Oryzias latipes: one gene and its partners. The protein of the gene in region 1 interacts with the protein of each later gene in a pairwise test. Links are inferred from orthologs where the notes say so. Each region holds a gene or a part of one and is shown in the gene's direction. Other genes may lie near its edges. The genes, in order: htt, trafd1, tank, med31, zbtb16, wac and trip10.

Region 1 (4,162 bases):
ATGACTATATTTGTGAATTAATGCTCACGTTTAACACACTGGCAAAAGAAAAATACTTAATGTATAGATAAAACTGTAAAAAACATAAAAAGATCTTATGTACCTCACTCAATATAAACTTGAAATAATGCTCAATATCTGTTCTCAGCCCATGACGCTATCTGATTTTTAAAAAGATAAAACAAAATCCTAATTGTTGGCACCGAAACCCTCAACCAACCAACCATGTAGGATCCCCTGATAGGGAGGGGCAAGCAGGACATGTCCTCACAGTGCCCTACCCGCCAATTTTAACTGCACCCTTTAGTACAAATACCCTTCATCCCACTGTATGTGAAGATTTTTCGAGCCAACAGGTAGGTTTGTGACATTTGAGTGTGTGTGTGTGGACAGGCCCCGCCCCTTTTAGACTAACATTTACATCTACACCTACACCACCCAACATCCCTCTGTCTAAACCACAAAAGGGGTTTATTCAAATATACCTTGTGTATCAAACGATTCGTAGCCCCCTGCTGTAACAGTAATGTGTCAAACACAACACAGCTGTTTGCTCAGCTGTTTGACAAACAACCTCAGCCAAAACAAAAGCATTAAAATGTGTTGCATTAAAGTTTCAGAAATACAAATTTGGAGCAAACTAGATACAAAACAATGTCCAAGCATCAGACAATTTAATAAAAACAAAATAAATAAATAAACTAATTAAACAAAATCAGAACATTATTATAATAATGACAGCATTATAGTGGTGATAATATGGACAATACTAAAGTGTAGTTTTAATTGTTATTATTGGTTATGATGATAAAGATGATATGACAGATAATAATGGAAAAACTTGGATGACTTTTATCAATGTTCTTGTTTTATATATGTGTGTTTCTAGCTAAATAAAAATTTTCTTTAAATCTTTGTCAAAAAGTGAACTGCAAATACTCATTTTCAAGCATGTTTTGATATTTTAAAGGGATTGGTCTGGTCTTGTTATATTGAAAAAAACTTTTTGCTGATTTTTTTAGGTTGATTAAGTAACATTCTTTAAAAATAAAGAAATCAAGTCAAAATAATTGTTTTCTTATCTGACTATTTAAATGTACACTGTTCAGAGATTTTTTCTTTTATCGCTCCTTGTTAGGTTCAGCTAATTTAAACTATTATAATTGTATTTTACCAGATAATATTGTGCCTAAAACCAATGACAAAATGATGTTGCAGTCTGTGACGTCAGTGGTCCCGTGACAGCAACAGCAAAACACAGAAAAGGAGGGGGGAAACTAAAGCAGCTGCCAATTGGCTGTTGGTCCTGTCAATCAAAACAACTCCGAGATTGATTGGTTGCTGACTTTGCACCCTTCCTGTTTCAGCGAAGCTTTCGCAAATACCACTTCCTGGTGTGATTGGTCGGAGGAAAACGTCGTTGCATCAAAAGATGGCATATTTTAAACCCGCTTTCACTTCATTTTGTGACAAAACTAGAAGAAATTGAGGGACTTTTGGCAGTAAGAGGCGCGGGGGGCGTGTGGTAGCCGCTCGTCACGCTGCATATTATTCTCTGGCTGTCAGTGCTGTGCTAGCTTATAGCGCAGATAGTAAATATTAGCTTGTGGAGAAAGCACTCTCATTGTAAATAACGAAAATGGCTACCATGGAGAAACTTATGAAGGCCTTTGAGAGTCTAAAGTCGTTCCAACAACAGCAGGGACCGCCGACGGCCGAGGAACTTGTCCAGAAACAGTGAGTAGCCCCTCCGCTAACGGCTTTAGCCTAGCTTAGCTCCGCTGCAAGCAGGCAGCAAACCGGGATTTGACATCCTCTCTGTAGTCGTGCTTCAGTGCAAAGGGCGCCTGGACACGGATTTAAGGTCGGCTTTAGGTGCTCAAACGCAGAGAGGCAGGCTTCCCTCGGCTGCTCAGCCTCACATGAGTCCAGATCTGTTCCGACAGACTCAGATCTGGACTCACCTGTCAGGAATGAGAACTCGTCCACGAATCCAGGGAAGCTGCTGCATGTGTGTTTCTACCTTTTGGTCATGTCAGCTCCGACTATCTGGAGGCGTCCGTGTGCTGAGAAACATCGGACACGCGTGACTCGTTTCAGATCTGCATTGAAACAGACGCGCCTCCATGCGAAGCAACTAACTTCTGTGGACGCTGCTGTCTTCTGGGGGCCACAGCTCCTCTGAAAAGGCGACAAGTCGCTAAACTGTGGTCAGACCAGCTGAAAAGTGAGGTTATTAGAGTCTAAGAACCCTCCACCCTAAAGAGGAGAGGAACCATAACTCACCGAAAGGCCTTCATCTTTGATGTTGGCAGAACTGTTTGCTAACCTTTGGGCTGAAAGCTGTTGGAACGTCCGTCCAAGTTTCTGGGCATTTTTCCCAGCAGCCCCCGCTCTTGGTTCTTCTTTTGAACACACCTGATCCCAGGTAGTCAGTCGTAAGTAGAGCAGAGATCGCTGGAAGGTTGTAGGTCGCTGTCAGTTGCAGGCCATGAAATTATTCACTGAGGTTTTTATTTTAGTGTCAGAAAACGTTAAATGATGGCAGAGTTTGAGTGACGGCTCCGGTTGGAGTCTTTTCTGTGTTGAAAACCCGACTTTTGCCCTTTTGACCTGCATTCTCCTCATCTGCTGTTTCCTTCCCAGGAAAAAGGAGCAAGCTACGACAAAAAAAGACAGAGTGACCCACTGCCTGACAATATGTGAAAACATTATTGCCCAGTCACTGAGGTAGGAAGGAACATGTCTGTCTGACGTGTGTGAAAATTCAAACCAACGTAAAGTTCAAGGGAGTTTTGAAACATTTCAGTCAAATATTTCGTGTTGTTAGTCCTGTTTAGGCCTCAGAAGGACAAATAACTGAAGACTTTTTGTTAATTCTTAGAAAAGTGCTTTATTTTTTACTTTCAACTTTGATTTCTAAGGACAGGCAATTTTAATGGCTGTTTTACTTTTGACAGTGGAGCATTGCAGGGTTTTATTTCCTCAGTATTTCCTGCTTTTTGGTTCTGCTAGCTCTCCTCCCTAATGCTCATCCCATAAGGACGCTAATCTGCTCCGAGTCAAGATCGAGTCCTCTTCAAAGACTCCAGATCATTTTTTCAGTGTGCCACACTTTACCTGAAACAAGTATACTCTAGTCCAGGGCTGTCAAACTCATTTTCACCGAGGGCCACATCAGCATAGTGGCTGTCCTCAAAGGGCCAGATGTAACTTACACATGTAACTAAATAATGAAAAATAAAAGTACCCGTAATTTCCACTTTCAACCCTGCGGCTTATTCAGTTATGCGGCTAATTTATGCATTTTTTCTAATGACCGCTAGGGGGCGCTCGAGCAGAAAGGGTAAGAGTGAGACAGGAGAACGCGTTGTATGTGTCCAGGAAGACGCAATTTTAATGTAAATTCCTGCTTTGTGAATGAATAGCACGAACAGACCCTCATCATGGAAAACGCAAGAAGAAATCCATATGAGCAGCTTTCAAGGTCAAAGCAATCGTTAAAAGTAGTGTAAAAAAATCCACCATCACCAACGGGTTTGGAAAAGCCGCTCTGCTGCGTGACAGAGAGGACAGCGCATGGTTTCAGTGCACAGGAGGCGTGTGCCGTGCAGAAACGCGCCTATAAGTTACTGCTGCTCTCAGTGACTTTTTTTTCTCTCTCTCAGTGACTTATGTATGTTTTTATAAACCAGCCCTGTTAGTGCTCTTATTACCATGTTGCTGCCGCGTCACTGTTTGGAGTAGAGCTGTGACAGTGTGGGATTTTTGATCACCGCAGTGATGAAGCACCAAGAGTCGCGGTGTCGGGACTCTTGCGACCCCCCCCCCCCCCCCCCCCCGACACAACATCCTCCGGTGGGCGGCCGCATCGCGCTATAAAGAACGCACGCTGCTTGTAATGGAAATAAATACAATGGAAATTCCCCCAGAAGCCCTGAAGTTTGAACACAGGACTCACAGAAAAAGTAAATTATTAGCAAGGATGCTTGTGTTTTATTATAGTACAAATCCCCACCATGTGCAGAACTTTCAACAAAAAAACAGAACAAGGTGATGAGTCATCACCGCGGTTATCGTCATGGACAGTGTTTACGTCCTAATGTATAGTTGCCCGATGTGATATCTGATATTTCAGGTCCAATTCCCCCTAGATATGAAT
Region 2 (4,236 bases), on another chromosome or scaffold:
CGAATGACCAAATGTCCTCCTTACGTACAAGGAAGTGCAACAGGAAGGCTTTCAAAAAAGGTAGTAAGCTTGTAAGAGCACAAAAACGAAGGTAGGCGGAAATCTGAACAGGAGTTTAGTGTATAAACCTACAAGATAAATCTACTTTTATGGTTCTTGTAATATTTCCACGCTTCACAATTCAATATAAAGAGATGCAGCGAGTCATCAACAACAAGAAGGCCACAAATAAGGCAGGGAGTAGCTGTTTTGATTTAGCTTCACAATATTGTTTTGCACATTTTCTAAAAATGCTAAAATATGAGACAGCATACAAAGTTACATTTGTCTTTTTTTTCCATTTTTTTTTAGTTCATATCAGCAGCTTATAATGCCTCTTTGACGGAGATATAGAGGGGATCGATATGGTAGAAACAATCATGCAAACAGAATGATCAGTAATGTCGTTTTATTTGATTTCTACGGTGATGATTCATTGTGTACAGACACACGTTTGTCCCTGTGCAGCTAATGCTCTTGCCGAATGTTTTCCAGAGTGTGATCTGCAAAAGTTGGACCTAAACTTTTATCAGAGAATTATTTTGCTAATGGATTAAATGCATCACAAAGAACTAAGACGTGGGCTTCATCATGCATTCTTTAGAGAAAGTGTTTTTTAAACCTAAACATGGACGGCAAAACTAACAGTTTGAGCACATGTTTAAATCGTTTTCTTCTTTTAGGGCACTAGTTAAAATCTCAAGTATTCTTTCTTTTTACAGAATATTCAAAAGGTTTGTCATTTACTCAGTTTTCTTTTATTCTGTATTTCTTTTTACAGCATGTTTTAAATGTTCTGTTACATCTTATTATCAAATTGTAAAGTGGTGACTTTACCTCTGAAATCTTGCAAGAAAAAGGGCTTGGAAGCAAATTTCCATTGTTTTTACAATATTTGTCTTGTCTTTGAGTTGAAGTTTGTAGGATTTCTACAACACATTCAAATATTTGCTGTACATATAATCAGTGTTTTATCTTAACAGAACTGTGCCTTACAATAAATTGTCCGACATGACATTATTGGTGAATCAAAATTTCAATAAAACATATTAGACAATACAGTGGGGAATCATGTCTTTTAAAATTCATGTCATGTTTTTCTTTCTCGTAGTTCTATGCAATGTCTATCAACATTATATATAATACATAATAGTAAACTCCATAAAAGTGTAAATTTTGAGAATTTGACTCAAGAATGCACCATTTAAAATTAATTTGTAGCGGAAAAACACGAATAAAAAAAAAGCATATTGAAGATACTTGCGATGTTGGATGTAGGATAAAGCATTACGCAGGATCTTTAAATCACCAATCAATTTTGAGTATTCACCTTGTGTTAATTTATGCCCTGACTTGTGTCTTGCGGGAAAAAAAAACCTTTAGATTTTGGTTACAGCTTTGTGTTACTCATAAAACCGATGACTCGTTTACTCTGTGATTGAGAGCGAGAATACGTGTAAACCGTATTTAGACATTCTGAAAAAGTCTGTGCCTGTAAGCCTTTACCCGGGGAGGAGATTAGGAGGGAGAAGGCCAGACGAAGGAAGAGGAAATGACAGTTTAGACTGGTTTTCATCTTTATCAAGTGAAAATATCCAACTGACAAAAGGTAAAATAAGAAACTACTATTATGAATTTTCGTTATACACAAAATCTATCGTAACATTAGCTGTATGACGAGATGTTCGTAAACTGTAGATGGATTTAGTTAGGTAATCATAATGCTACGCTAGCTAGCCCAATACAGACAAAACATTGTATTTTCTATTTAACTCAAGTCGTCCAAACCCCATTTTTGGTTAAGGTTCGTGTTCGGTGTTCTTCGGAATAAAATATTTACTGTCTTCCTGTAAACCATAAGAAGGGCTAAGTGAAACGGTTCTCGATTGGTTTCATTTTTTCCAAAACGATAGCCGCTCTTTAAACAAACCCTAAGCCTAGCCTAGCCCTATGATATAATAACAAAATGTTATAACTTATACGGTTACAGCTACACTACTAAAATAAATGTTAAAACCCAGAAGAAGATAAAATGTCCAGCTCGTTGGAGCAAAGATGAATGTCCCTTTCTGTTTTATGTTTATGGCTATTTGTTAAAGGTTTTTCTGAAGTCATGATGGCAGACGACGAAAACACCATCATGTATTGTGGCAACTGGTAAGTATGAATTTATTGTGACGCGAGTTTCTAATGCAGTTCTTCTTGGTGGCTAGCAGCCCCTTCTATTGTTGTTGTTTTTTGTTTTTAAGTAAACGTGACATCCCAGAGGCCAATTTCACCACCCACGAGATTCACTGTCGCAGAAACATAGCACTGTGTGACGTGTGCCAGGAGCCCGTACCCCGATCCGACCTCGAGGAGCACAAGCTGCAAGAACACACGGAGGTAGATATCTGAACTTAACACCAGCATGTACACGGATGCGGGGCCATTGGCTCTTTATCCAGTGATTTTGGGGAGGATCTTCCAGATGAAGCGCGATTGGGATGGTCATTTCCCCCTGATTCTAATGGGACTTTGAAAATATTGAGTGTCATCCAAAGTCTAAAATAATAGGGAGGGTGGGGCAATGCATTTCATTCAGGTAAACTTACCACTGTGCTGCAGGTAAATCCTCATAAATCCACTAATTGTAACTTTAAGATGCACTCAAATGAAAATCGTACTTTAAACACGTTCCTGTAGGATTTTTCTCTTGATGGATGACACATATAAATAAAATTAAGCTTAAAACTGCCTTTCTGGGTATTTTTCTTTATTCAAATCCTTGCGAATCAGGAGCAGAAAAAAAAAGGCTTGTTGTAATGTAGGACCTACTGCAGCAAGCCACCAGCTCCATGCTCTGCTCCATTCCGATGCATCCACATGTAGACACACAGATCCACGTATGTCTTTGTTTTCCTCGTCCAAGGTTGGCATTTGGGTCAAAACAGCTGGATGGCTCCAATATTGCTGGCCATTTTTGTTCCACCAGTAATGTTAGGTTGGATGTGTGAGGGCTAATAGCTTTTAAACAGATGGCTTATATACGGAAGTGGGGGCTGACTTGTTCTGCCGCAGAATTCCTTCATCAACTCAGAAGCAAATTTCGAATGCACTACTACAGAAACTACGTCCTAGAAAAAATAATAAATAAATAATTTTCGATTTTGGCTAAAAATTACATGCTTATAACTATAAGGCCACTGAAAACACTTCTGAAATAGATCAAAAGATGATTGAAGCGGGACTTTAAGCTTAAATTTTGAAACAGATATTTTCCGCTGCACCCACCAATGATATCAACTAAAGTTTGCTCTTAGAGAAATTATTGCAAAGTGAAACTCTTTAAAGTTTTCAATGTAAACTCCTTTTTTTTCCAGATTACATGCAAATGTGGAATGAAAGTTGAGAAAAATCATGTCGATGTTCATCAGGTATGGTCAGGAACAAAGATGCCTTTTTATCCATGCAAAGAATAACCAATGAATAATATGCAAATTCTTGTCTAAAAAGACTGTTTTGAGTAAAAGTACAGAATATTTTTCAGCTATGTTGTTATTTTATTTAAATGTTCCTGTTATTTGTTTCTTGCAGAATTCTGAATGCCCACAGCGACTGGTGTCCTGCCCGTACTGTGATCTGGAGCTTGCTTTTTCTCAGTCTAAGGAGCATGAGGACTATTGTGGTACACGGACTGAGCCTTGTCCACTCTGCAAGTGCAATGTGATGCTGCGTGAACAGGTTGTACATCCAGCCTTATGTGGAAGCCTCACACCACCTCAAGAGAAGAACAACAGCAGGATGAGCCGCACCGCAGCAGAGCGAGAGTCTTCCGATGCATGGTTTGAAGCTCACTCCATTCGAAACCTCCTCAGACCCCAAGAAAGGAGTCCGAAAAATAATAACATTGGTGCGTCAGCTCAACAGTCCTTTCCTCCTGCATTTAATCCTTCAATGTTCAACACAGCGAGAGAAACGCAGGCTTCAAGAGACTGGAAGAATGCTGCACCTCAAAACACAGGGTTTAGCCACTGTGAGTGCAATGTTTGCTTTATGTGTCGTGAGATGAGGCCATCAACATTATGTCTAGAACATTTAATTTAGATATTGAACTCATTCTTGCACTAGTAAAATCTGATTTCCTAAAATGGATGGGATAACATTTTCGGTTAATTGTAGGTCACAGTGATTTCCTGCATGGAAGCAGCAACAATG
Region 3 (4,105 bases), on another chromosome or scaffold:
ATTTTCTTACAATCTGTAACCATTTTTAAGTAAAACATGTTTATAAGGCATTGTTTCTGGAAAAAAGTGCATTAAAACTTTAGTGTTTATGTGCATATTTGTCATAGAGGCTCCACTTTAGCTACAATTGGAATAAATGACAAATGGCATATACTTATATGGCGCACTACTACCTTCTTTTAAACTCCATAGGGCTTCGACAGTCACAGTCCCATACACATTCCCACGCTGATGGCAGCTGGGGTTCGGAAACTTTGACACATGGTTGGGCAAGGTGGGAACCAAACCTGCGATCTTTTGATCAAGGGTTGACCACTCTACCTCTGCAATACGGTCGCCTCAACTGATAGAGAGTTCTATACAATTTATTTCTAGATTAGCAGACATTTATATGCACTTTTTCTGTGTTATCCCTTGGCAAATAGTTATCTATGTAAGTGTACTACAAGTAGTGAAGCAGAATACTTGAAATTTACTTTTTATAGACTATTTATATAATGTAAACTTTAGTATTCAGAGAGTTACTTCACTTCCTATACTACATGGTTTATAGTTCACTTGCTATACTTACACACAAGTATACTTAACAAAATACTCTTCAAGTGTACCACTTTTGGCTAAGGGGTGAAACAAAAAGGGCATGCTCACTGTAATAAACAAAATATAATGTTTTGCGACTAAAAATGTTTATGAGGTTATATAAGAAAAAAGTGCATTAAACCTTTCGATTTTATTTGTTCTAGAGACTGCACTTTAGAAACAAATGTAATCACTTTGTCTGTTTATTTTATAAATTTGCTGACAGTTGTATGCACTTCACATTGATACACACTTTTTCTGTGGTAGCCCTTAGCAAAAAGAGGTCCATAAACGCATATTCCACAATATATATCTATATATTGTAAGCTTAGAATGTTGCAATTTAGTATTCTTCAGAAATATTCAGTTAGTTTACTTCCTACACTGCATAGTCTATAGTATACTTGCCATACTTATACTAAAGCATACTTAATAAAATAAACTTCAGTGTTTTGCTAAGGGAGGAAACAATAAAGGACGTGCTGATTGTAATAAACAGATAATGTAATGTTTTGCAAAAAAGGAAAAAAAAAGTGTTTATGAGGTTATATAAGAAAAAAGTTTGTGGAGAATAATGAGCACAAGAGAAGTCGAGTTTGAGGAGAGTTTTCACATGCAGCCAGTTTGCAGACGCGTAGGCTGGAAGAACCCTCAACCATCTAACCACCCTGCGCCTCTCCGAGACGCCCGCTGATTGGCTGGAGCCGCGTGAAGGCGGAAGTCCACAGAGCAGGGGATTCCCCGAGGGAAGTTCCCAACTCCAAAGGGCTATGTAAAACACAGTGTGCCATATCCTCTCTAGCGCTCGCTAACTTTGCATCTCAGTGTTAAGCGGCGCCGCTGCGGTGGTGTCAAAACAACAAACTTCAAAAAGCAACTCGAATGAAGGTAAAGGAAGGCTCGTTCTGGCCGTTTTTCACTCGCCTTGTTGGTTTTTTGGGGTGCCTCCATTCCCAGTGTAGCTGTCAGTTCGAAGAACACGGAACTACTACCCGGAGAACTTTTTCATGACACTTTGAAGTGAACCTCCTCTTCCTCGGGAGGACTTGGGTGCTGCTGCTGCTGCTGTGGTGAGGCGTCCCTGGCAGATGAGTGGGACTCACAATTATGGACGTCGCCTGAATAATTGATGAAGAGCTCATAAGGAAGACTGCCTCATCCTCCTCAGTTTTGTAATGCAGCCGCTCAAAACGTCTGTTGCAACAGTAAGTGTGGAGCTGCTTTTCTGTAAGAACACTATTAGTTACTCTGTAGTTGTGTGTTGTTCACAAAAACTACGCCTTTGAGGATTTGTCAACATTTTGCTGCATTTTAACAGTTGACCTAGATGTTTAAAAAGGGACACACTTCCTTACATTTTTAAGTGTATTACAGATGTTATTACAAAATTGATCTCTAGTCAAGAAATTCCATAATTTTGCTATAGTTTTTTGTTTTTTAAATAATTATTAATATTTTAGTGTCAGATAAAGGCATTCTGAAATGCTTTGGTATTCTTGATATTGTTTTATTTAAAGAGGTTCAATGCTCTTTTTATGGTAGAAACTGTGACTTTTCCCCCCCTGTGGGCTACCCGTAGGGCTCATGTCTGCTGTGTCAGTGATGATCCTGGGGCACGCGGCATGGATAGGAACATTGGGGACCAGCTCAACAAAGCTTTTGAAGCTTATCGCCAGGTCTCCATCGAAAAGGACAATGCTAAAAAGGAGTTACAGAAAATGGTAGGAGCGACCGATACGCTTGTATTTGCTTCAATTGACTCTTTCCCAGAAGAATAACACATTTGATTGCGTTTGCAGTCAGAATATTACGAGCGATACACTCAAGGACTTCAAAAGAAGATAGAGGACCAGCAGAGGCAGATCTCTGAACTTACAGCTAAACTCTCAGCAATGAGGCAGCCCTCAGGTTAGTGCTTCTCCATGTAAACTTTGGGTCTATTTTTCCCAAGTCCCCCTTAAAGACACAAGTAACCAAAATTTCTACTTGGTCTATATCATCCAGCTAACACCCCATTTTCTTGCTCCATTTGACCCTTAGGAGAGATGAAATGTGAGCCTTGCAACCAACTCCTGGAAGGGGCCAGCACTTACAAAACAGTGCAGTTCCCGGTATGTTTCGGGTTGCATTATCTTTTTCCACCTCCTCATGAAATGAAGGATGTCCATCCAGTAAATGACAAGCTTCCTCTCTCTGACTTAGAAGCGTCAAGTACTTCTGCTTAAATTTCCTGATTCTATGCAAAAGATTGTTACGGGAAATGTCCAGTTACTGCAGTGGTTTCTGTGAGTTATGATACATCGGTGATTATTACTTTTTAATCGCTCTTGTATTGTCTGGGATCGTACTGTAGGTAACTTTTTTCAAGCGATTACCTCACGGATATTGCGGCAGAAGCACACGAGCTGTTTATGATAGTAAAAAAAGCATAAAGAAGGAAATAATCTGGAGTTTTCCAGTCTCCAGCATGCTGAGGTCATTTGTTTTTATTGGCTTTGATGTGACCTGCTGTACTTTTGTAAACCAGAGAGAGTGTGTCTGCTTTACTTCACCAGATGGTGCTAGAGGATAATTTCACCCTTCAGCTCTGCAGCATCAGCTTTTTTTTGTTGCTTTTTTCTGTGCAGTCTACAGGAAAAGCTTTCATGCTTATGATGTATGGTTAAAGTGCACATGTATCACCAGTTCGACCTCAGATAATTGCTGTTAATGACCACTACAGTTGCCTGTGTCTTTTTTTCCAGGAGAAAATTGGCTCTGTAGCTGTTGCTCCTAATTTACCAGTCAGCGGCAGCGTTGATTAGTATGTGCCAATTTCTGCAAACCTTTTTCCCTCTATTTTTCACCAATCACTTACATGCAATTTGAACAATTGACACTTAATAATGACTGGTTTATTGCACTGATCTTATCATCCAGTCAGGAGATGCTCGAAGCATTTGAGGCCGTTCAAGGCAAATTCCGACAGATCCGGTCTCTCACCAGAAGGCAAAAAGACCACCTGAAAAGATTCCATGGAGGAAGCGAGGCGTCAAACGGTAACATTTGTCCTTCTTTTCCCCCCCATCCTGATTCTAAACAGATTGGTTTTTGACGTTTGGTTGAGGATCATTTAGAAACTACCACCTGAAGAGTAAATGAGGATTTTTCAATGAAATTTGACCCTTAAAAATAAAATAACTTGGAAAAACAGCTGTAATATTTGCACAAAAATGTTAATTCTGCGTCATAAATGATTTATTTTTCATGCACAACAGGACGTTGTTAAAGAATCCAAAAAAACACACATTTTAGCTTTTAAGTTGATCCTAAAAGTTGTTTCTTGCAACATTTCTAAGTTGACTTTGTTTCCTCCCTTAGTAATAAATGCAGAGATGGTTGTAACTCCATCTCTGGGCCACAATTCTGCTTCAGCTATTTACCTGCTGGTCTGCTTAAATTCCATTTATATGGAAGGGTCAGTTTTCCTTGTATGAATAATTGAATGTCTCAACCAGCTAGGACGTGCCACATGATAATGATGTTT
Region 4 (3,973 bases), on another chromosome or scaffold:
CTTGTTGATAATAAAACTTTATCACTCAAACATGTAAAGAGTGTTATTTTATGGTCCACATTCAAATCCTTTAGGTCAGGGGTGCTCATTATGTCGATCACGAAGGATGGAACTGTAGATTGCAGGTCATCAAAAATAAGAAATAAATATCAAAATATATTTTTTAAAAATCTGTCAGTGAATCATCATCCTCGGCAGGAAAGATGTCACTTGATTGACATGCAGAACAGCCAATTGAACGTCCTCTGAAGCATACGTCACTGTGTTTAACTACAGCGAGTGCACTTTCTTATTTCTTTCTTCCTGCTGCACACAAATACATCAAACTCAAGGCCCCAACTGACAGTGTGTTCAGTGAATGTCTCAGGCAACGGAGAGGGATGCAGTGCTAGAGGACAAATCCTCATGGGAGGACAAACCGGACCATAACTGAAGCTGCTGATATCAAGAAGTGCTACCAATGGCTAGAAAGGGCTGGCCTACAGGACAGCACTGAAGCACTCATCCTGGCAGCCCAGGAACAAACCCTGAACACCAGAGCAATGGAGGCTCAGATCTACCACACCAGACAAGACCCAAGGTGTAGGCTGTGCAAAGAGGCGCCTGAAACAATCCAGCACATAACTGCAGGGTGTAAGATGCTGGCAGGAAAAGCACAGCCTAGTAAGATTGTGGAGCGCCACAATCACACATGGGCCACAATCATACATACATACATGGAGCGCCACAATCATTCATACAGCAATCATACGGCCAGATGCTGAACTACAAGATCAGAAATCCTATGAATCAAGTGTGAAACATTTTGATTACCTAAAGTTTTTGCATATTCTCATATTTTTCAGTGTTCAGAGAAAAACATTAACATCAGACTGGATGAAAAATAACAAAACATTTTCCGTTTACTGCTTTTTGATCATTTAATTTCTGTGTTTTTCCAATAAATAACAAAGACTCAAATAAACATGGACGTTTTTTATTCACTGTTCAAATTATTTCTGTTTCATGATGACATTTAATGTTTATTTCTTCAGACTTCAAACACTATATAACCAAAAGTATGATTAACAAGTATTTTTTATTTGTGTTGGGTATTTTCTGTCTCAGTTTTTGTTGTCCGTGTGCTGAACAACAAAGTTTTGTTGCAAAAGAAAAAAAGCCGTAAAGTAGATAGCAGGTGTCGCAAAGTCGGAAGTGGTTTTGCCCGAGTAGTTCACTTACGGCTGATGAAAGCTAAACAAAAGCAGCTGGACTGAAGATTTGTTAAACATTTAAACACATATAAGGATTTTCTGCTCTTTCTGGAAGCCCTGCTCAGTTTGTGGACAGTAAATAGTTACTGTTCGGGTCGATACCATGGAAACAGGTTTGTAGCTAAACCTATTTTTGTTAGCTTTGGTTCTTCTAAGTCTAACTATATGGGAGGATGATGAATGTCTTCATTATTCTTGTGTTTTTATTTGACATTTGAGAAACTGTGTATTTCTAACTTTTGTAAAAGACTTAAAGCTGTGTTGATGCTTTTATTAACCTGAGTTCGTGCGTACAACAAGCCGAAAATTTTTCGTAAATAATAAATTAATAATGTCGGCGATTAACGCGGGGATTTTTTCGCTGTAGTCCGTAAAATAAGTAATATGACATTTATGAGAAAGTTTAAAAAGATAGAATATGAAGCTCGTCCATCTTGACACATTTTTCATAAAGAAGCCAAAGTAAACCCCGACATACTAGTACAGGTCGCTTGAGCAGGAATAAGTAAGATCTTCAGACTGCATATAATTCATAATTTCAAAAACGTTGGGCTAATTTTAGCAAACTGCTAACTCTCTTTAACCAATAAATAAACCAAAGACCGACATAAGGACAACACACTAGTTCACGTGGGTTTAATAAAGCTCTATCAGGTTTGAATAACTTTGTAAATGTGAGATTTTATCAGACATACTACCTTAACTACCCCATTAACTCAATGATTCACCGGGGACAGTGGTCTCCAGCTCCATATCGGTACCACTCTTCCTTTTTTCTGTTAATCAGGTGTTTATGAAGGTTTTATTTTGAAAAACGACGTCCACTGCTCCACATCTGTCTGTGACGCTTGATGTTTGCCTCAGTCAGGCATTTTACCCACCTTCAGCTGCTAACGCACATTACTACAACGCTAAATAAAAACCCTCATTCTATTGAATATTACACAAACAAGCGTCAGGCCCTCTTAAAGGTTTCTCTGGGCAGAAAGCACCGTCAGTGAGGAAAAGGAAGAGATAGACACAACCGGGACACAGGGGTCAACGAATCAGTCACTGGGGGGTTTGGTTGGCCATCAAAGGACTCCAGCGAGGAGGATGTAAATCTCTAGCTCAGCACCAGTTGGACAGAACTGAAGAAACTGCTCGGGTGAGAGGCGAAACGTCTTCAAACCAGAAACTTTGTCCAGTTGAATACTTTTGGAACTTTTCATTTTATCATGACCTGAATGACTGAGATTCCACCCCAACATGGAACCAGGAGTTCTACTCAAAACATAGATTTCTGGTGACAGTTGTTCCCGCACTCACTGTGCGGTGACTGACCCTCTAAGGTTTTCAGGACACTGCTAGTAAAATTGTGTACTGGTTGAACTCACATTTACTTTAGTCAGACGTTTTTGTCGGTCGCATCTTTTTGTTTGGTTGTATTTAGTAGCCGAACCTCAGAGGCTCGTTTGTGAAAATGTAGTCTGACAATAAACCAGTTCTTGCGTCGCGCTTATATAGTTTCTAACTTATCACCCAGTCCACTGGTCTAACACAGGAAATGTGTTTGGGGAAATAAAACTCATTTACAGTGTTAGCATAACACACGAATCATGGAAATATCAGAGCAGCAAAAAAATAATAATAATAATAACTGCAGCAGGTCGTCAGGCCCAAACTGCTTATTGTTTCAGAATTCGCAGTGTTTTTTACTTTTGTGTGATGCTGTCTTTTCTGGTCCAGATGAGCAGGCCCGGCACCGCTTCCAGGCCGAGCTGGAGTTTGTGCAGTGTTTGGCAAATCCGTACTACCTGAACTGTAAGTCTCTTCATCTTTTCTTTAACATTTGTTCTTTAACTTCCCTGAAAAGTGAAGCCAGAAACTACATTCCTTAACTGGAAGTTCGTTTGGTTGGAGGCTTGAAATCCTTCAATAATCTGAAGCCCTGCAAGGCCTCAACACGAATATTCCATGAAAACCTGTTTTTATGACTGCCCAATGAAAAGAAGGAACAAAAAGCTCTGAAAAGCCAAAAATATTACTCCAATTTTCATGTTTTTCCATATTATGTATCACATTAAAGATCAGATTCACCTATTTTACTCATTTAGTTTTTTTTTTTTTTTTTTCCTGACCTTTCTTCATTAAAGACAGAAATGTGTTTGTTTAAACTGATAAATATCCTCACTTCTGTATGTTGCTCAGTGTTGGGGTAATGGATTACAAAGTAACAAATTACTGTAATTTAATTACTTTTGTCAGTAACGGTAGAACATAACAAATTACAGCTCATATTCTGTAATGAATTACAGTTACTGGACTATAGAAACCCTTGTTACTTTGTTACTTAGATTTTGCAGGCTTTGACTTTTTCTCTGTTAATTGAAATGAAACAGAGACTAATTATAAAAAAAGACGGAATTACTGGCACATAGCAGCATGGGGGATCGGTCAAAGTACAGACATCCCCTCATTGCTGCAGTCGCTTTGCTTTCCAAACTGGCTCAAAGATGAAAAAGACAAAAAGAGATCCTGCAAGGAGTCTTGTTATCCCTGAGGAGCAGCAGGTGAGCAGCAGAGCAGAGACTCGTGTACTGATGTGTCAGTAGCAAGTGAAACAACCTTAAAGTCGGCTCTTTGGTGTGAAAGACACGACCCGGATCCTTCCTGGGAGTTGTTTTTTTTTTTAAAGTATTAATTCAGCCTTTCTTACTTTATTGTTAACTGTAAGCTAC
Region 5 (4,098 bases), on another chromosome or scaffold:
CACATATTGACCCCTCAATTCTCAATCAAACCTGTAGATTAGATTTCAAGAGGTCTATGAGGCGTCTTGGCGTGAATTATTATTAATATTATAAATATGAAACTTTCCTGTGGAAGTTTGGGAGAATGTTCTTCATATTAATGAGCAGATCAAGAGGAAAAAGCCAAATGAGCTGCCAAATCTTGTAATTGGTCATAGAACTGGATAAATGAGGCCATCAATGGGCTCAGGCAGAATGTGGGTCAGTGGATGGATTTAACTCTTTCTACTCTGTGCCCTCTTTTTTTATTTCCATAAAATAAATGAAATAAATCTGTGTTTTGTTGGTCATCTTAGGTGCATGCTGGTGACCGGATCTTAATTTAACCAGGCTTTCATTATGGGTCAAACAGGTTTCAGGAATGAGGTGGAGCAACATGTTGCCCTGTTAGCTTGAATTATAAAATGTACCCACAGACACCCATTCATTCAGGATTTTCAACATTTGCAAGCACAGGCGCTCTCTGGGGCCGTGTTGTGGGTTTTTGCCTCATCTTGCTGTCTTTTTCGCCCATTTTTTGGCCACTGCTCTCCTGCTCCTGTCTGTGATGAGAATACTGAGTAAGATGCTATTTGAGGCTGCTGACGGTCTTTGTGAACCCAGACGCAGTGAGAGCCTACAATTCAGCCTTGTTTAACTGGTGTATATCCCCATCAGATAAGCAAATGAAGACATCTCTTTAACATAACATATGCTGGACCTATTGGTATGCAGGATGAGCCTGTTGGACAGCTAACAAATTGTCTCTCTTCAGAAAATCCAATCAGTGCCGTCTGCTAATATAAGAACGCCACTAAGTATTCTTCCCCATTCATGTGTTTGTAATTGAAGCCTGCAGAAGTCTGATATTAAACACTTTTTTAGAAGAAATGTTCCTCTTTAAAGACGCACTCTGATGAAAATTGTGTTTTTCTTGTCATATTTTTCTGATGATGGACATGTATAAAGAAAATTAAGCTCAAAATTGCATTTCTTAGTATTTATTTATCCAAATTGTTGTGAATCTGGAGCAGACAATAAATGCAGTTTGAAAAAGAGCTTACCGGTATTTGTTATATAGAAAATACGCCGAGCCACAAGCTCCCTGTTCCGCTCCACTCTGATGCATCCACTTGCAGATGCATCCACTAGATGTACGTCTAGCTCCGAGCTGGCACCGGGCTCAAAAGTGTACAGCCATGTAGCTCCTATGTTAATCAGTGTATTTGTTGCTCAGGTAATGGTAGGTTGGGGTTTTGAGGGGTAGTAAGCTAGCGGGAGAGCATGTTGTGACACAGATGAGTGACAGGAAGTGGGGGTTGGGTTGCTCCATGCCAAAATTTCTAATGAAGAGGTGAATTTCTAATAAAATACAGCCGCTTTGCAGAAACTGTCCTAGACAACAACATAAATCAAATCAAACCATTTTTTTATATAGCACTTTTTAAATATAACACAACACAAAGTGCTTCACACAATTTTTTTATACATATATAAAAACAAGCAGAATATTGAAATAAAGGACAATATACATTTTTGGAATTGTAAATAAAAAAATGTTTCCACCGTTGACATTTCTCTTTTTTTTTCCATCCAGGTTTGACTTTGTTTACAAAAACAGCTAAAATCTCTGCTGAGCGGGGAAAGCGAGCCTCATGAGTCGGCCTGGCAGGTTACATCAATATCATGGATTTAACTAAAATGGGTATGATCCAGCTCCAGAACCCCAACCATCCCACTGCCCTGCTGCAGAAGGCCAACCAGATGCGTTTGGCTGGGACTCTGTGCGATGTGGTCATCATGGTCGACAGCCAGGAGTTTCACGCTCACCGGACTGTGCTTGCCTGCACCAGCAAAATGTTTGAGATCCTCTTCCACCGCAGCAGCCAGCATTATACCCTGGACTTTCTTTCACCAAAGACTTTTCAGCAGATTTTGGAGTATGCTTACACTGCCACTCTTCAAGCCAAGGTGGAGGACTTGGATGACCTTCTGTATGCAGCCGAGATCCTGGAGATTGAATACTTGGAGGAGCAATGCCTCAAGATCCTGGAAACCATCCAGTCCTCAGATGAGAATGATGTGGATGTCAACGCTAATGATGGGAGCACAGAAGACGATGAGGAGCGCAAAGGCCAAAATGGAGCGAAGAACTCCAAAAAGCATTCCCTGGAGACTCCCAACCTGTCAGGAGCTCAGCAAGCCTCCAACATGCCTGGCATGGTTGACCAGAGTCCCTCTGTCTCCACCTCCTACAGTGTTTCCAACCTGAGTCCCACCAAAGCCGCTGTGGACAGTCTGATGAGCATCGGCCAGTCTCTGCTCCAGCAGGGCTTTGGTGGTGAGCAACCCGTCCACATTAATTCCCACCACCTGATGACCGACATCAAGACTGAGATGATGCAGGTGGACATGAGTGGCAATGGACATGACAGTCCTCAGAATATGGAGTCCAGCGTCTCGAGCAACGGAGAGCGAAGCGGAGAGGACAGGAACCGAGATGGTCCCGGAACGCCAACGAGGAGCAGCGTGATCACCAGCGCTCGAGAACTGCATTATATCCGTGATGACAACATGGGCGACCAGCAAGCCGAAGTCAGCCAGATGGGGCTGGAAGCAATGGCAGGAATGACTGAGAAACACCTGGCCTCACTATATTCGCTTCCTGTCAATCATAAATCCGATGCCATGATGTCCATGCCGGTGTCCATGGCTTCTGGTCTCCCCATGTCCCCTGCCCTGGCGATGTCCATGGACTTCAGTGCGTATGGGGGGCTGCTGCCGCAAAGCTTCATCCAGAGAGAGTTCTTCAGCAAGCTCGGGGAGCTGGCAGTGGGGATGAAACCGGACGGCAGGAACCAGCATGAACGTTGTAATGTTTGCGGCGCAGAGCTACCAGATAATGAAGCCGTGGAGCAGCACAGGTAAGCTTCCTTCCCTCTCCAGTCTGTCTCCTTTGTCTTTGAGTTTATCCCATTTCAAAACTCATATAGGTGCATCTTCTGCATTTTGATTTTAAAATTACACACTTTTACATAATTGACGATTTCAATGGTTTTATAAACATATTGTCACTTTTTAGGCTTAAACTATTTAAAATGGGTGAAGCGGTTTTCTTTTGTTCTACTTGATCGACTTTAACAACAATTGACCCAATCCTTTTATGTTTCTGTTTTATTGCACTTGCATGAGTTCCATTTACAGTCACATAAAGCCCAGTTTTGTGCAGTCGCCAGCTCAGAACCGGAGATTTACTCCTTTAGTAGCTGCCAAGCTTGCCCAGGTGACTGCTGAAGCAATGCTGTCTTAACATTGTCCAAGACCATTAGTCACACCTTCCAAGATGTGGGCGGCAGCTATCACACACACTTACCAATGTGGAGCTCCCTCATCCAGGACCCTGCTCCCCTCCCTTTTCCCATAACTGCACAAGGGGGGCCCTTATTAGCTTGATAATTGGAGTAGACGGTCAGCTCAGGAAATGAGTGCTGAACCCGAGACAAGGAGGTAGTTCTAGGACAGGAGAGTGGCAGCTGCGCAGCACTGTTTCAGTCGCTGCATATAAATAAAGCTTTAAGGCTGAGTAATTTTACAACACATTCAGAAAACCTCCTATTGATCACAGAGCAGCAGTAGTCTCCTACCTTTTTTTACTTTTTCAGACTACGGACCGCTTTATTGTCAGACAATATTTTCACGGACGTATAAGGCCAAAGTGGCCATCCGTTTATTTTATTTGTGTGGGTAAAGTTTATCTTTACCCTCTGTAAAATGTCTGCAGCTGCTTTAAACTTTGTTTGTAAACTAGATTTTATGAAGGAACCATCCACATGTGATTTAGATTTACCTTTAACCCATAACTGTCAAAGTGGAAGCTAAGAATGGAAGCTAACTTCAGCTTTGTCTGACTTTTAAGGTGCAATGAATTTAAAAAACAAAAAGGGAAAGCGGTCACAAAAACTGGTATTATCTAAATACCATAATTATATATTATATATTAATATAATTAATGTGAATACACCATTAAAACAACTTTATTTGCAGCATCCTCAGAAGATTAGACAGCCAGTTAATGAATA
Region 6 (2,552 bases), on another chromosome or scaffold:
CTCCATGTCTCATTTTAGTGGAACCCACATAAAATCCAGTGTACTAATAAAGTTTAAAGCAGCTGCAGATATTGGACTTGCATCAAGAATAAGTTGGATGTAGTGGAGAGAATCCAGTAGTTTTCCAAAGTAAAACTTCCTTCAGAATCAGAATATAAATAAAACGGCAGAACTGTGGGTTGTGGGTTTTTTCCTCCGTTTCAAAGCTTCTGCAGAAACATCTTGTATGACTGCATGTTTTTTTCCCCTCCATGTAGCAGTCAGAGGAGTCCGTCTCCAGGTTCCAACCACGTCGCCTCCAGCAGCAACGCCCCCAACTCCGCCTCCGCTCCCCCGGCCTCTTCTACATCCCGGCCCTCCTGTTCCTTCACCCCCTCCCTTGCGGCCCATTTCAATGAGAGCCTCATCAAGCATGTGCAGGGCTGGCCCGCAGAACACGTGGAGAAGCAGGTCAGTGTCCACCGCACACCTCCCCTCCCTCCTTCTTGGCTCCGCCCCATTTAAGTTTGCCTCCGTCTCCCCAAAGGCGTCCAGACTCCGCGAGGAGGCTCACACCATGGGCAGCATATGCATGTCGGAGAACTGCACTGAGCTCAAAAACCTGCGCTCCCTCGTCCGGGTCTGTGAAATTCAGGCGACGTTGCGCGAGCAGAGGTGAGTCGTCCGCACGCTTTCTGTTGCTGCGTCCAAACCCCCCCATCTCACTCCTGCTCTCTGTTCTTCTGCCCCCTCCCTTACAGGATATTGTTTTTGAGACAGCAAATCAAAGAACTTGAAAAGTTGAAGAACCAGAATTCCTTCATGGTGTGAGAACTTTTGGTGGGGGGTTTGGGGGGGTGTCCGGAGGTTGTGGGGAGCGGGGTTGTCATTGCACATACTAGGAAGCCGGCAAGAAAAACGGTTCCTCCCGAACCCAGTCTTAACACACGGGAGCTGCAGTCCTGCTGGCAGACCACAGGGGGGCGACAAGGAGCTGCTGGTGTGGTGGGTGGGGTCAGGGAGGGGCTGATTTACAAGACTGTGTTTTTGTAAAAAAAAAAAAAAAAAAACCACGGTGGATTAACATGTAGATTTCTTGTAGATGTTATCTATGTTGTAAATATGTTTTGTAGATTGAATCCATGGAAAGCCATGCCTATCAAAGCTTTTGACATCCAGACTAATCAGCCGAGGCGCCAGCCTCTCCGTCACTCATCTGCAGACTTCCGTTGTCACGTCACGGATCATTGAAGCGCCGTGCCCAACGTGAACGGAGGAGCTGGCCTCACCGGGGTCATCGGTTTGACCTTTTTAGATCCTCTCCCACCTGTGGGTGTGGGCGGAGGCCTCCTCCGTGCAGGTGTTCTGTAAACGCTCACAGCGCTTCAGTGATCCGTCAGCAGTTTCTGGCGCCCCACTTTGAGGAGGACGGGTGACGAAAAGACAGTTCCTGGTGGTGCAATGGATTCCAAACGAGGAGCGTGCTGCTTTGGACCATTCCTTCACCCTCAGCAGACCTCTTTGGAGTTGAACTCCTTTCTTTCCGTTTTGTTCCCTTTTGTTCGTCAGCTCTGCACGCTGACTGTCTTCATTCCTTTGTACCGTCGCTAACAGCAGCGGGGTTTTAGAGAAGGCCAGCTTTCACGTGTGGGTTGCAGTAATAAGCCATGCATCACCCGTCAGGAGCTCAAAAGCGGGTGGAGGTGGGGCGCCTCTCCGGTCGAACGCAGGGCAACCAGGGGTCAAAGCTCAAATGTGAAATGTATGTAATGTAATAAACATGTTAAACTAAAGTGAGCGCTGAGTGTTTTGTTGGAGTGTCTGCTTTGGTTTATATGCTAGTGCCTTGTTGAAAGTCTTAAGCCTCATCACCCGCAGGTCCATGTTTGCTGTCATCCCGCCGGATCAAAAGGCCCAGATTTAGTCAATATCCTTTAGCTCCTCCCCCATATTCATCACTGTCAGCTGCTGCTTTATGCCCACCAACACAACATTTAGTTGAGCTGACCATGTCATTGCTTTGTATAATGTTTCCTGAAATATATTGACAAAAAATAAAGGATGCCTCTCCAAGGCAGTGTTGTGTTCAATGCTCCTTTGAGCTTCAGCTCATTTTGTTTTTTTCTTGTTTGTGAGAAAATGACTAAAGCCTGAAGCTACGTTCACAGCGTCCTCGGCAACGCACTTTCAATGAAAAGTCTGTGTAAGCGTGCATTTTGAGCTTCCGCGTTCAAAACTATCATGTTCGTGAATAGCTACATACGTTTCTACTGCCGTTTTTGGGTTCTTTGTTTAAAACATGGCCATGGAATGTGCGCTTTAACCCTTGTGCTATCTTAGATGACCCCACCCTTACATTGACGTGTTCTCCCTACCATGTCAAAGGTGTATAAAGGTGGAAAGATTTCATGTAATCCATGGACACCATTGAAGTTCACAAATCATTGAAGAAAAAAGGTTTGGCGCACTGTCTTGTGGGTCTAGATGACCCAACTCCCAACGTTAAAGTGCCTAGGATAGCACAAGGGTTACAGTGAAACCACAATGACCAATTTGGTGGTGACGAATGGAGG
Region 7 (3,500 bases), on another chromosome or scaffold:
TAATTGACAAGTAGCTCATGTGTTTTATTACGTAACACATGTAGATTTAAATGCTAAACATATATATTATATAATATATATGTATATTTGTTACCATATTTAAAATGATACTAATGTTTACATTTGGAAATATTTAAAATTACTGTGAAATGTAGGTATGAGCATGAAATTTGAAAATGGTCTTGATAAAAGACATTCCTGTAACTTTATATAAACCACAAACAACCTCTGTTTTCCAACCATATAGGAATTACTTATATCTTGGATTTGTAAAAAATACTTAAAGGAGCCTTTTCCTTTTATTAATGTGTATAAGTATAAATGTAAATAACACAGGTAGGCAAATTTGATACTGTGTATTAGTCTTACAAATTTAGTGAGGCAATGCAAAATATTAGACTGACAGCCGAAAACCTGCTGCACACAGGTTCAGCATTTATCACTTTTTTTTCTCTTTTTCTTTTAAATGTCAGAGATTTCATATGTTTTTATTATTTCGGTCTTTTTTTTCCATCCTCCTGGGAAATTTCCTTGTATGCATTGTTGTTTGGTAGGAACTCGTTCCAGTTGCCTTTTGGGCAGCAGGAAGGAAACACAAGTTTGTGACACAAACATGAACTATTCAGGGAGCGCTACACCATCAGACACAAGCAAGCTCTTGTAATGGAAAGCAGAGTATGATGGCCTGATTTATATTTAGTCTTGAAAATAAAATAGGACATAAAAAGAAAGAAATAGTTGACCTTCTTAACTTATCTCAAAGTATACGTCAAGTCAAAAATTACCTGAAACAGATTTTGTTGCCATGAAACTGTAGTTATTGTATTTTTGGAATAAAAGTGTAGGGAGAATTAGGTGACTTGGTCTGGATTGGCCTAATTTTTTTCTTGTTTTGTTCAACATGTTGCTTAGAAGAGCCAGAGATGTGTGTTTGTTCTTTCATGCTGCTGTGGCTCATGTGCTGGGTTTGTTGCAGTATTGTCCCAGGCACTGTGGTGCACTGAGGTGTTGACAGTGTCTTTTTCTTTCCCCTTGTTACCCTGTTGTTTTTTTTGTCCCCCCCCCCCCATTTCTCTGCTGCCCCTCTCCTCCTCCTCTGACCTATGCCTGCATACCTTACTCTCGGGTGCTGGTACTTTTGGTCTTGCTCAGTTCTCTTCCTCCACACTCACTCCTTTCTCCACACCACCAACCCCCTCACCCTCTAATGGATCAACTTCCCCCAAGTTTGGCCGGGACCCCCTGTCGTACTGTTTGAAGGAGATCAATAAGACAGTCAAACCCAGAATCTCTTCATTCCGGACACTCAGGAGATCGGTGAGTGACAAGGAGGTGATCAGGGTTCCCGGAGACCTCGCCTCCTGTGCTCGGGTGTCAATTTGGCCTCTGCAAGGATCACTGAATTCTTTAGATGACATTTTCCACGAATTGGTCTTAAACCATGTAGAGCTTATGGCAGAAATATGCATTAAAGTAAAGAAAACTATAATTATAGGCTGGTCACAACTTCTGGTGTAAGATTGTTCCATACATGTGCTGTTTTGTTTGTTTTTTCCCCCTCAGAAAGTGACTCCAGAGAAGGCCTTGGTAATGTGGACAGAAAAAAAAACTGGTGTGGGGGTTTCATTTGTTCAAAACACAAAAATGGCCACTTTTCCTTTACACAGCCCCCCCCCCCCCTTTTTTTTTTGAAGACCTAGTACCTCAGAATAACTGTCCAGTTCTGTAATGAAAAGGTGGCCATCTGGTGGCGGAAGAGGGGACTGAAACTTGTTCATGGAGTTTTATTCTTTCCATAATTATTTAACACGTGCAAAATGAGACCTCCACTTGCAAGCAAGTAATTTTTGCATATGCAAGCAACATTTGTTCATATTTACATTAAGCAGAGCAGGATATTTTTCTTCTTTGGAAATGCTTGTATAAAAAAAGATTTGTGTATGCAAAAAATATTGTGAGACTGTGTGAAAAAGACATACAGATGGAAGAAATTTTGTCTGGTAAAATTTGGTCAGGTTTTCATAATGGCACATCCACACACAAGTATTTTCTATGAGTGCGTGCAAAGAAATACAAATGCAAGTTTCAACGTCTGACTTTTGACACATTTAATCTAAAAATATCCACTAATCAGCACTTTTCTCCTGTCTACAGATTGAAAAATGTTAAACGTATGAATTAAAATAGATTAAACAAAACATAGTGAAATTGAAATGGCTCATTCTTTAGTTTAAGGTTACCGATCTCTGCAGAGAAATTTGTGAAAACATAATTTAGTTTTGGAAAAATAAAAGCCATTTAAATTATTCAAAATCAACTTTTTGGTTCTACTAAAGCAGATAGAGAAATTTTCCACGCCCAATAACAATTTTCCAGAAGGAAAATTGAGTAACATGAAACAGTTGACAGTCAGGGGTGGAGCTACAGGAGGGCTAGGGACCTCTGCCCCCATTAGCAAAAAGCTTTGCCCCCTCAATTTCTGGGTCAATATTAGTATCATCATTATTTAAATCACCAATACAAGCTTCTTTAAGAATTAGTAGTGGCATCTCGACTAAAATAACTGCTTTTTTAATGTTATTAACAAACATTTTTGACTTTCATTTGTAATGGCCTTCCACTCTACTGTTCTCATTTGCCACACTTCCAAGGTCATCTGCCCCCTTCCACTGTTCACAGTGACAGAGATAGACCAAGTCTCAGCTTTAGAAAATTGACTACAAGAAAAAAAAAGAAGAAAAAATTTGTTTTCATTAATTCGTGAAATGTTTTAAAATCTGATTAACCAGTATATGGTGGTGTGCTGATTGGCTGTGGTCAGCAGAGAGGTGCTGATTGGTGGATTAGTTTAGCTCGATTCATATCAAAAGTCAGAGGTTATAGGGTTCATTTATATGTTTGAAGTGTGAAAAACAATTTTTTTTTTTTTTTTACAAGAGGACAAGTATGTAAAAAGCACAAAAATATTCTGCATTTGTTCTTCTTTTTTCTTTGCAAATGAATACATTTAGTTTGCGGTTGCAACAAAAACATAATGCATGTGTGGATATCATAATACAACCATAAAATAATTATTAAGGGATTTAACTCCATGCTTGCTGACATCAAAAATGAGTTGAGATTGTGCACTAAGATTTTTATTTTTACTCTGCCAAAGATAACGGGACTTAGTGTTGCTGTTGTGGGTTGGGCTTTACATTCAACCTTTATGATTCATGGGTGGCTGTTTTGTCTTCAGCTCAGTAACACCTTGAGTTTTAAATTTAAAGTTTGAGTTGATCTGAAACCACTTGGTGTGTTTCTTCTCCTCAAATGTGTGGTTTTTGGCCTTTTCTTGGGAAAATGTCGAATGTAGGCCGGAGTTCATGTTAACCCACCCTTCCTGTGACCTCTTCCAGCCGACAGTGACTGAAGACTTTGGCCACTTACCTCCAGAGCAGCGTAGGAAGAGGTTACAACAGAAGTTTGAAGAAATCTGCAAAGAGTTGCAAAAGGAAGTG

Evidence for each region.
Region 2: the proteins of htt (region 1) and trafd1 interact in binary tests that used the Homo sapiens proteins (3 or more experiments, as listed by UniProt). The link is inferred for Oryzias latipes from reciprocal best matches to the Homo sapiens genes HTT and TRAFD1.
Region 3: the proteins of htt (region 1) and tank interact in binary tests that used the Homo sapiens proteins (3 or more experiments, as listed by UniProt). The link is inferred for Oryzias latipes from reciprocal best matches to the Homo sapiens genes HTT and TANK.
Region 4: the proteins of htt (region 1) and med31 interact in binary tests that used the Homo sapiens proteins (3 or more experiments, as listed by UniProt). The link is inferred for Oryzias latipes from reciprocal best matches to the Homo sapiens genes HTT and MED31.
Region 5: the proteins of htt (region 1) and zbtb16 interact in binary tests that used the Homo sapiens proteins (3 or more experiments, as listed by UniProt). The link is inferred for Oryzias latipes from reciprocal best matches to the Homo sapiens genes HTT and ZBTB16.
Region 6: the proteins of htt (region 1) and wac interact in binary tests that used the Homo sapiens proteins (3 or more experiments, as listed by UniProt). The link is inferred for Oryzias latipes from reciprocal best matches to the Homo sapiens genes HTT and WAC.
Region 7: the proteins of htt (region 1) and trip10 interact in binary tests that used the Homo sapiens proteins (3 or more experiments, as listed by UniProt). The link is inferred for Oryzias latipes from reciprocal best matches to the Homo sapiens genes HTT and TRIP10.

The regions. Positions count from the first base shown.
Region 1 is NC_019859.2:35,201,256-35,205,417, reverse strand, and holds the start of htt (huntingtin), read left to right. Parts: upstream 1-1,362; 5' UTR 1,363-1,639; coding exon 1,640-1,737; intron 1,738-2,646; coding exon 2,647-2,730; intron 2,731-4,162.
Region 2 is NC_019867.2:12,247,697-12,251,932, forward strand, and holds the start of trafd1 (TRAF-type zinc finger domain-containing protein 1), read left to right. Parts: upstream 1-1,436; 5' UTR 1,437-1,648; intron 1,649-2,138; 5' UTR 2,139-2,152; coding exon 2,153-2,196; intron 2,197-2,288; coding exon 2,289-2,424; intron 2,425-3,401; coding exon 3,402-3,455; intron 3,456-3,615; coding exon 3,616-4,054; intron 4,055-4,200; coding exon 4,201-4,236. UniProt on the Homo sapiens protein: Negative feedback regulator that controls excessive innate immune responses. Regulates both Toll-like receptor 4 (TLR4) and DDX58/RIG1-like helicases (RLH) pathways.
Region 3 is NC_019879.2:20,997,517-21,001,621, forward strand, and holds the start of tank (TRAF family member-associated NF-kappa-B activator), read left to right. Parts: upstream 1-1,305; 5' UTR 1,306-1,784; intron 1,785-2,158; 5' UTR 2,159-2,201; coding exon 2,202-2,300; intron 2,301-2,378; coding exon 2,379-2,487; intron 2,488-2,619; coding exon 2,620-2,690; intron 2,691-3,323; coding exon 3,324-3,382; intron 3,383-3,498; coding exon 3,499-3,617; intron 3,618-4,105.
Region 4 is NC_019872.2:23,702,807-23,706,779, forward strand, and holds the start of med31 (mediator of RNA polymerase II transcription subunit 31), read left to right. Parts: upstream 1-1,173; 5' UTR 1,174-1,356; coding exon 1,357-1,366; intron 1,367-2,981; coding exon 2,982-3,056; intron 3,057-3,973. UniProt on the Homo sapiens protein: Component of the Mediator complex, a coactivator involved in the regulated transcription of nearly all RNA polymerase II-dependent genes.
Region 5 is NC_019872.2:25,466,726-25,470,823, reverse strand, and holds the start of zbtb16 (zinc finger and BTB domain-containing protein 16), read left to right. Parts: upstream 1-1,298; 5' UTR 1,299-1,705; coding exon 1,706-2,943; intron 2,944-4,098. UniProt on the Homo sapiens protein: Acts as a transcriptional repressor. Transcriptional repression may be mediated through recruitment of histone deacetylases to target promoters. May play a role in myeloid maturation and in the development and/or maintenance of other differentiated tissues.
Region 6 is NC_019878.2:7,916,008-7,918,559, reverse strand, and holds the end of wac (WW domain-containing adapter protein with coiled-coil), read left to right. Parts: intron 1-257; coding exon 258-450; intron 451-526; coding exon 527-654; intron 655-740; coding exon 741-810; 3' UTR 811-2,052; downstream 2,053-2,552.
Region 7 is NC_019866.2:8,490,394-8,493,893, forward strand, and holds part of trip10 (cdc42-interacting protein 4), read left to right. Parts: intron 1-1,152; coding exon 1,153-1,317; intron 1,318-1,563; coding exon 1,564-1,587; intron 1,588-3,398; coding exon 3,399-3,500. UniProt on the Homo sapiens protein: Required for translocation of GLUT4 to the plasma membrane in response to insulin signaling. Required to coordinate membrane tubulation with reorganization of the actin cytoskeleton during endocytosis.